2 linked regions of the Solanum lycopersicum genome follow. The protein of the gene in region 1 binds, or shares a complex with, the protein of each later gene. Links are inferred from orthologs where the notes say so. Each region holds a gene or a part of one and is shown in the gene's direction. Other genes may lie near its edges. The genes, in order: NAD(P)-binding Rossmann-fold superfamily protein; NADH dehydrogenase [ubiquinone] iron-sulfur protein 7, mitochondrial.

Region 1 (4,516 bases):
AGTCGCATTCAATAACTCTCAAATTTTCCATTTTCAATGTAGCAACTTTCAATTTAGACTTCAATAAATTTACTTCAATAAAAGAATTTCCCGGAGAACTATCTTTCTCCTTCTAAAATTCATATTTGTCAATAAAAATATAGAAGAACTCATAATCATATGAAATACAAACAGAAATCTCACAAATTAACATTTGGTGAAAATGTACCTTAGGTTTAGAACATTTATAAAATCTTCTTTCGGATTTCATTGAAGTCTTTGAAGTGAAATAACAAGCCATTTCACCAAAAATAAGTCATCATCATGGAGTTACTAATTGAACCACAACTACTTTCAAATATGGTTTTAGGTCTAATTGAAGGGAAACGACGAATCGATGAGAATCAACTAAGAAAAGTCGACGAACAAACAATGCAAACAACGAAGAATCTCTAATGAACTAGGGTTTTAGTTTTTGAGATGAACGAAAGATTTGAGAGGAGATTTTTTGATAGTATTTGTGTTGTGTGAGTAATAGATAAATTGGGTAATTGACGGGTATTTGAATTTTGGGTTAAATAATTGGTTAAACCAGATAGAGTCGTAGTATTGCGCCACTTGTAACAAATAAGTCTTTCGTTACTGGATGGGCATATATGCACGAGTTATTTAACGATAAGTGCACTAATAAACGAAAAATATGAAGGAGAGTATTAATATACTATTAACAATAATTCCGGTAAATTTGTCCTTTTCCCAACATATATTAAAAGAAATTATGAAGAAATTAAAAAGAGCATTTTTCACATATAGCAAACATAAAAATTATATTTGTAGGCTATAGTTATAGTTTGTATAATTGTGCACATAGTAAACATAAATATGTATATTTCGCTATACATATACAAAAGAAGACAATTGTAGATAATCTATTTCTGTTTCGGTATACATATACAAAAGATCAATTGTATAATATGTGTTAGTATAAAGCGAGAAAGAGAGCAAGACAAAAGAGAATTGAGTAGGAAAATATTTGCATTGTATAATATAAGTGTATAGGACGAAGATGTATGTATTTGCATGTGTATATATATACAATTTTCTCTTGCTTTATACAAACAGAAACACAATTTATACATTTTTGTTTGTATAAGTGAGAGAGAAGAGCGAGCTCTGAGAGAGTAACGAGCGAAATTCTGAGAGAGGGGAACGAAAATATATGTATATATACAATTTTCTCTAGCTCTATAAAACACAAACACGTTTTATACATTTGCGTTTGTATAAAAAACGAGAGAGACGAGTGAGAGAATGAGAATGACGAGTGAGATTCACCTAAAGAGACAAACTATTAACCATTTACTATGAGATACAATTAAACTAAACTATATTTATAACATTTAATTTAAAATAATTATTTGGTATTATATACGATTTGCTAAGAAAAAAAGGCAAATTGAAAGGGAAGTAGTATTAGAAATGAGGTTCACCCAATTACTAGAATAGAGTTGACAAGTTAATACGTATTTTACTTCAGCCAGTGCATCTATTTTTCCCCCAATTCCCTTAACAGCGCCGATATCAATCAATCTTCTCCCATTCTCTGTGAGCTCGAGCTCCGCTGAGAACGAAGATGCAGGCCATCACGAGAAAACTAGGGCACCAATCTTTGAAACATCATTCGCCTGCCATTTCATCATTCAAGTCTCTCTATCCTCTTTCTGATGATCACTGTATGTAGCTTATGCATTTCTAGGGCAACTCAAGTTTTTTTCCTTTTCCTCCTCTACAATGTCGTGATCTCTTATCGGATTGTGTTCTTATTTTGTTTATGTTTTTGTTATTTCAGACTATGGTTATCTTACTCCGCGCTACGCATCTAACCTTGCCACCGGGGGTGCGGGACCTCTAATTCGTAAGGGAACTGGAGGAAGATCATCCGTTAGGTAAATAAATTTGTTTTGAAAATCTTGTTCACAGTCGTGTAAGATGGTACCCAACTCGTTGAGATAATGGTTTGGTTAAATTGGTAAGTTTTCGAATTAGGTTTTGAATTTGCCAATGTTGGGATTTGATCTCTAGATTAAGAGAACTCTTTATATTAGAAGTCAAATGATTAGTAACTGGAATAAAATGGGCCTGGATAGAGCAAAATGAGTAGAGAGATTTTATATAGCTGCCTAACTAGTTTGGGATTGAGGGTAGGGTGATAATTGTTTAATCTTGTACTGTTCCACTAAATTTGATATGTCATTTGCGTTTCTTAATACTGTGTGAGTGTAATTCAAAGTTGTGTTCTTTTGCTTATTGGTTGGCCTGGTGCTTCTGGTGCTCTTTATTTTAAATATCTACATGACGAGTCATAGATTTTGTTCATTTTTTGTTTCTTTTTTATGTGTGCAACTTGAATTATGTATTTTTTGAATTTATATGGTTTTTGAATCTGTTGTTTGTCAGTGGAATCGTCGCTACAGTCTTTGGAGCTACTGGATTTCTGGGGCGTTATGTTGTACAACAGCTTGGTAACGTTCTAATGACCTTCTCCTTTTTCCTGTACTTACTATACCAACAAAGTTAAAGAATTTTTGAGGTAAATGGTACTTGTTTTCTGTTATTTGGGGATCTCAGCTAAAATGGGCAGTCAAGTCTTGGTTCCTTTCCGTGGATCTGAGGATTCTCCTCGTCATCTTAAGTTGATGGGTGACTTAGGACAGGTATGTTAACAGCTGTGCTCCCCTAGTCAAACTTACTTTACTTTTGTGATCTGATTTATTGTTATCTTCTGATGTCTTTGAGCTTCTCTTAAACAAAGACATGAGTTATGAAAGCATTCTCATTTTTATAGGGGTACTACCTCTCTTTGTTTATTTTGCCTAGATTGTTCCTATGAAATACAATCCCCGGGATGAAAATTCAGTTAAGGCAGTGATGGCTAAAGCTAATGTTGTGATCAATCTCATTGGTATGCCTTCTACCATTTTTAATCAGTGATCCATAAAGATATCTTTACAACTATTGTCGGTAAACTTTCTGGTTTCCAGGAAGGGATTATGAGACGAGAAATTACAGCTTTGATGAAGTCAACCTCCATATAGCTGAACAGCTTGCAATGGTAGGTTCTGCTGTTATATTGCCTTTTGCTTTACCTAGATTAGTTAAATATAAACTGAAATAATCTGTCTCAATCTTGAAGTTCAAAAAGAAAAAGCTTTGTCTCAATCTTGATATTTCATCCAGTGCATTATTGGGGTTATTCTGTTTCTTTTCTTTTGATAATTAAGATGTTGTCCAATGTGTCAACTTGTGATTTACGATACTGAGGACAATCTAAAGTTAATACATAAACTTATTACAACTCATTCTGTGGTTTTCTGAGGATTGTATCATATGTGTTTCTCTTTATTGAACATGTGGTTCTCAGTGTTGTTTATCTTAACCATTATTCTCAGTGTTGTTTATCTTACCCTTTTATTCTCAGTGCTGTTTATCTTAGCCTGAGTTTTGGTTTCACTTGGAGAGCCCTACCAACTTTTTGTATGTCATTGTGCATATAACTGATTCAAAAAGATAAACTTCCGTGTGAATGAATGTGCAGACTGAGAGTGCATTTACCTATCTGCCTTTTTTTGCTAGTTTGTGCAAAATGAGACTTCTTTCAACCTAGATAAGAACATGAATTTTCATTTAGTTACATTTAATTGGTGGGATTTGCATCATAGGAGTATTCTGGGGATGATAAGAGTGATTGTGATATAAGCTTTGCCTAGGGGCCAATGAAGTTGGTTGAGAACCATTTGGTCTCAAGTTCAAATCTTGGCAGTAGCAGAAGTGCATAAACACTTGGTGATTTCTTCCAATATGTCCAAGTCTTGGTGGATAGAGTTACCTAATACCTATGTCCTATAGGAGGTAGCAGGTACACCATGCAATCGGTTGAGGTGCTCGCAAGCTGCCGAGATACTCCAGTTACACTACCATTTCATGAAAACAATTTTTTGGTATTATCCTTTCATAAAAGAAACTAAAAACAATCTGTAAGATATGTATACAGAAAATTTGTTGATTATTTTATTTCAACTGGAATAAGAGTTCCCTCTATCCACTTTATCCCTCTATCCTGATTCCTGTCTATCAAGTTGACAATATTCAATCCAGTGTTTTGGACGGCGAGAGGCGACAAAAGGCGACAAGGGCCTGCCTCGCCACGCGGCGAGGCGAGCGGCGAGGCGCTTGCCTTTTTGAATTAAGGCGCCAATTAATACCAAAGATTAAAAATATTTAATTGCATATATAAATATCCAAAATCTTAATAGTAGTAACACATATTAGCAAATATTCAATTCAAAAACCAATAGTAGTAAAACTTTAAAGACCAAATAATTCAAAATACAATACTAAAACTTAAAATGTCTATTCTTCTTCAAAACTATCCGACTCTTGAAGAAAAGAAGTCAAGAAGAACTGAAAAGATCAAAAGAAGAAGAAAAAAAAGAGGTATACCTCAGGTCCTCAGTGCAGCAACAACTCGAAGATGATG
Region 2 (4,431 bases), on another chromosome or scaffold:
AATACCAGTGCTCTGCTAGGCTTATCTGCCATAATCAATCAAATGTATTGGAATTGATGATAATGAAGAAGAGAGATGGATTGCTTGTTGATTATACTGAATAAAGTTTGCAACTTAGGGAGAAAGAATCTAACTTTTCCTCCTTTTTTTTTTAAGAATATTATTTAATTTAGTGTGTTTTAGATTGAATTATTTTAAATATTTTTTTTGAAAAGACGAAAAGTATTTTTAAGTTTAAAATGACAAAAGTGATTCTTTTTAGCTTCTAAAGCTAGTTTTAAGAAGCTAATTCAAACACTTTTTAAGTTTATTTTAGTATCGTAATAATATATTTTATTTGTATTTGGGGAATATAAGATAGAGTAGATTTTGTGTAAATCTCGTGTACATGTTTGAGCTGGTAAAAACATTATGTGTATAGTGTGTTTTTACTTTAATATTTGATGTCGAAGTAATTTTATAATTGTGAAATCTTAAACTGTATATATTGATATAGTTAATTGAACGTTTGTATATATTGTATACAACATGATCATATACATTGAGTTATCGATTTAACGAGTTTTTAAGCGAAAAAGTTCAAAATTATCTAAGTTTTTTATAAAATTTTTTTGAATTTATGTGTGAATGAAGAATTTCGACGTTCATATGAGAAACAAACTTATGATACATACTCTTAATCAATGGTTATGATTCAATTGTCATATATGGTCAAATATAAAAAGTAAAATTGATTACTTATATAATCGAATGTATCATATATATATCTACAAGCAAAATGTAAATATATGTATCAGAAGTCTATTTCTAAAACAAATGTGGTGCATACAATATTCACGTATTAGAAATAGACTTCGATGCACACAATTGTATCAACAATTACAATAATTAATTCGTTGAAATACAATCAAAACAAAAGAATGTATACAATCATATAACTAGTATATAGAATACATAGATTCCAATGAAATTGTATGTATACAATCACATAACTACATCTATTTATAAATTTTACTCCGAACGAGAATCTTAAAATTATTTACAAACTAAAATTTATAATCAAACTCTTTCTAACCCAATAATTATCAAATGAAGGCCCAAATATAAAACCTTAATAGATTGGAAATCCCAACTCTAATCTCGATTTGGGGTCTAATTTAAAACTTCAATTCCGACTCTGACTTAGACAAAATAGAAAGAAAGTACAATCTTAACTCTATTTTGTAGGATTAAGTTTATATTCAATTAGATTATTTACTCAAAGAAAAGTAACTAATGCATAAAAAGTGAAAAAAAAAAAAGAGACAACAAAACATCAATGTACAAAGTAAGTCCAACAACATATATATTACTACACATTTGAAGAAAAATAAATTACAGCAATACCATATCAAATGCATTCCAACGAGTGAGGCTCGAAGAAGGTAGTGTATACACATATTTTATATTTTACTTAAAAGAAAGGAGAGGTTGTTTTCTTGTAGACTCTCGATTCAAATCAAATGAAAAAGATTATAACAATAATAAGTAGGAAAAGGTAAAAAAGAAACTACCCGATACATCTACTACGACCATTACGAGAAAACTGCACTATCAGTTAATCTTCTATCCTTATTCTCGACCTCATTACCTTCTTGTATAAGATTATATCCTCAATCCTCTAAAATTATGTCATATCTTATCTAATAATGTCTTCGATGGACGATTATTTATGTCAATTCTTTTTGCAAAAATTAGGTAAGGGCCCAAATATGAAGCCCAATGGAAAATATCTCTCAAGCCCAAAGTATAATATCTCTCAAGCCCAAAGTATCAATAGACCGGGTTATATCCATCTACAACCGGGTATCCATATCCACTGGTAACCGTTGGATCAGTTCCACGTGTCCCGATCTGTATTATTCAATAAATTAATACTGTGTATGTATTTCTCAGACCAATCGCCGCCTCTTTCATTGTTCTTCTCTTTGGAATTCTCCAGAAGCCGGAGTTTCACCGGAGAATAAGAAATGGCGTTTATAGCTCGAAATGCGAAACTACTCACAGGAACGGCGCCGTTCCTTCAAAGGGCGGCGACGATCCACACGACACTTCCATCTCTCTCGCAGCAACCTGCCTCTTCTCCGGCCACTTACGGTGGCGCACAGCCTCCGTCCATGAATACACCAGCAGGGATATCTAAACCGGCTGAGTATGTTATATCTAAGGTGGACGATCTGATGAATTGGGCTCGTCGTGGGTCCATATGGCCCATGACTTTTGGATTGGCTTGTTGCGCTGTGGAAATGATGCACGCCGGAGCTGCACGTTACGATTTTGATCGATTCGGTATTATTTTCAGACCTAGCCCTAGGCAATCTGATGTTATGATTGTTGCTGGTACACTTACCAACAAAATGGCCCCTGCTCTTCGCAAGTATGTATACATTCTAACAGTTAATCCTCTTTTAACGTTTATCCCATACATCTGTTTACGAAGCATATGTTTGTCTATATTTGGATCCTATTTTTCCTGTAGAATTGGATTTGATATAAGCGCATTTAGGGAAATCTGATTGTATTTTTGTAATATCAATCGATTGGTTTCATGAAAACCTGTTTCGTTCTTCTCTATTGCTATGTTTCCATCAAGTGCAACAAATTGAGGATAGCATGAGATTTTCCAATTCGCTTCATTTAATCTGATTATTTGGATGTTGGTTTCTTCTCTGGCATAGTCTCCCACTCTTCCCTTTGGTATGAAGGTTGGCATAGTGTTATTTAAAACTCGTCTTTTGGTGGAGTGGTGGATTTTGGTGTAGTAATAGAAAAACGAGGTTCTCGAGCATTGTAGCTATAATGTATAAGGTAATAACGTGAGATGTAGAGGAAACTTTGTCATGCTTTGAATGATATTGGTAGAATGTTTTAGTAGGACTCAGAATGAACATAGCTCACAGGAGCAGAATAGATCATCACCCAGTGGGATGACAATCAGAATAATCTTGTATATGATATAACGCAACATGTGGCTTGCCAGGTTTCTTTAAAGTTTTGCTGTTAACGTTCTAGGAACCCTGATTAAAGAACATGTGGATTTTTTGTGAGAACATACTTAAGAATTTGTATCCGATTTTTCAACACACAAAAATGTTGAAATCATCGCTCGTCTTTTAATGAGTGTTCATGTCAATTATCGAAAATGAGTCTTCCCCTATTTTAAATTCTTGTTGGTTAAATAAGGTATCAAAGGGGCGAGCATTTTGATTTTTGTACCAAGGAAGTTGCGTATTTATTATCGGATTAAGAAATTCGGAGATTGTTTTATAGATAGCATCCAATAAAGCTTCAGACCCTACATATGGGATTACATTAGGTATATTGTTGTTTTTGTAACCATTCAACATAATGAAGACGGGCAATTGCACATAAATATTAGCAACATCTTTTGTGTTTGGTGTAATGAGTAATGACTATAGCCTGCCCACCCAGTAGTGGTGTCTTTTTGTTTTTGCAATGGTCAGCTAAAATAGTCATTTGATTATTCATATTGATTAAAAAGACATGTATATATTCTTTGGATTGTTTATTTCCTTAACTCTTTAGTTTTTGTTGGTATTTAGTTAACAACAAAAACATACCCAGTGCAGTCCTACAAGTGGAGTTTGGAGAGGTAGAGTGTATGCAAATTTCACCCACGAGGTAGAGAAGTTGTTTCCTAAAGATCTTTGGCTCAATGGCTCAAGAGCAACAAATGAAAGTTGTTATGAAAAGAAATACGATAGTGAGGAAAACATTTAATTGATAAGGAAAGCATTCAACAAAAAGGACAATAACAACGATCATATAATGCGGTAATTTAAACATAATAGACAAGAGAGGGTAGCAAATAGCAAAAGCAAGAGATTACATGTCTATGACTAGTACTACGAGAAACACGCGCTACCATACTTCCATCAAGTCTAATTCTGTTGAAAAGCGAGATAGAACTCAACTACCTACTGACCTTTTATGACCTTCATACCCTTCTATTTAAGGTCATGTCATTGGTAAGTTGAAGTTGTGTGATGTCTTGTCTAATCACCTCTTTATACTTTTTCGATCTACCTCTACTTCTCTTCATATCTATTATATCCAACCTCTCACACCTTTTTACTAGGGCGTTTCCGCATCTTTCTTTTCTTAGGTCCAATGCATCTCAACCTTGCTTTTCTCTTTGTGCGCCATGGAGGCCACTCCCACATTGTCTTAGACATCCTCATTCCTAATCTTATTTCCCTAATATGCCCACACATCCATCTGAACGTCCACATATGCTACTTGCATCTTTTGAATATGGGTGTTGTCGACCGGCCAACATTTCCCTATACATTAAAGCCGGTCTAATTGCGTAGAACTCACCTTTTAAGTTTTCGTGGTGTTTTTTTTTTCACACAAGTCTTTGGAGGCGAG

What was found.
Region 2: the proteins of NAD(P)-binding Rossmann-fold superfamily protein (region 1) and NADH dehydrogenase [ubiquinone] iron-sulfur protein 7, mitochondrial are in contact, whole or in part, in a cryo-EM structure (PDB 8BEE), measured with the Arabidopsis thaliana proteins. The link is inferred for Solanum lycopersicum from reciprocal best matches to the Arabidopsis thaliana genes AT2G20360 and AT5G11770. Residues at the interface, in NP_565469.1 of Arabidopsis thaliana: Arg100, Gly101, Ser102, Glu103, Asp104, Arg107, Lys110, Leu111, Lys122, Thr151, Arg152, Asn153, Phe154, Pro330, Phe331, Pro332; in NP_196738.1 of Arabidopsis thaliana: Arg140, Glu148, Arg150, Trp151, Asp176, Arg177, Ile178, Val179, Pro180, Val181, Asp182, Lys205, Arg208, Arg209, His214, Trp215, Trp216, Asn217, Lys218.

Annotation. Positions count from the first base shown.
Region 1 is NC_090808.1:58,530,866-58,535,381, forward strand, and holds the start of NAD(P)-binding Rossmann-fold superfamily protein, read left to right. Parts: upstream 1-1,458; 5' UTR 1,459-1,612; coding exon 1,613-1,712; intron 1,713-1,828; coding exon 1,829-1,925; intron 1,926-2,436; coding exon 2,437-2,501; intron 2,502-2,607; coding exon 2,608-2,693; intron 2,694-2,856; coding exon 2,857-2,941; intron 2,942-3,020; coding exon 3,021-3,091; intron 3,092-4,516. UniProt on the Arabidopsis thaliana protein: Accessory subunit of the mitochondrial membrane respiratory chain NADH dehydrogenase (Complex I), that is believed not to be involved in catalysis. Complex I functions in the transfer of electrons from NADH to the respiratory chain.
Region 2 is NC_090810.1:60,011,300-60,015,730, forward strand, and holds the start of NADH dehydrogenase [ubiquinone] iron-sulfur protein 7, mitochondrial, read left to right. Parts: upstream 1-1,312; 5' UTR 1,313-2,009; coding exon 2,010-2,416; intron 2,417-4,431. Other genes in the region: uncharacterized protein, read right to left, coding at 1-32. UniProt on the Arabidopsis thaliana protein: Core subunit of the mitochondrial membrane respiratory chain NADH dehydrogenase (Complex I) that is believed to belong to the minimal assembly required for catalysis. Complex I functions in the transfer of electrons from NADH to the respiratory chain.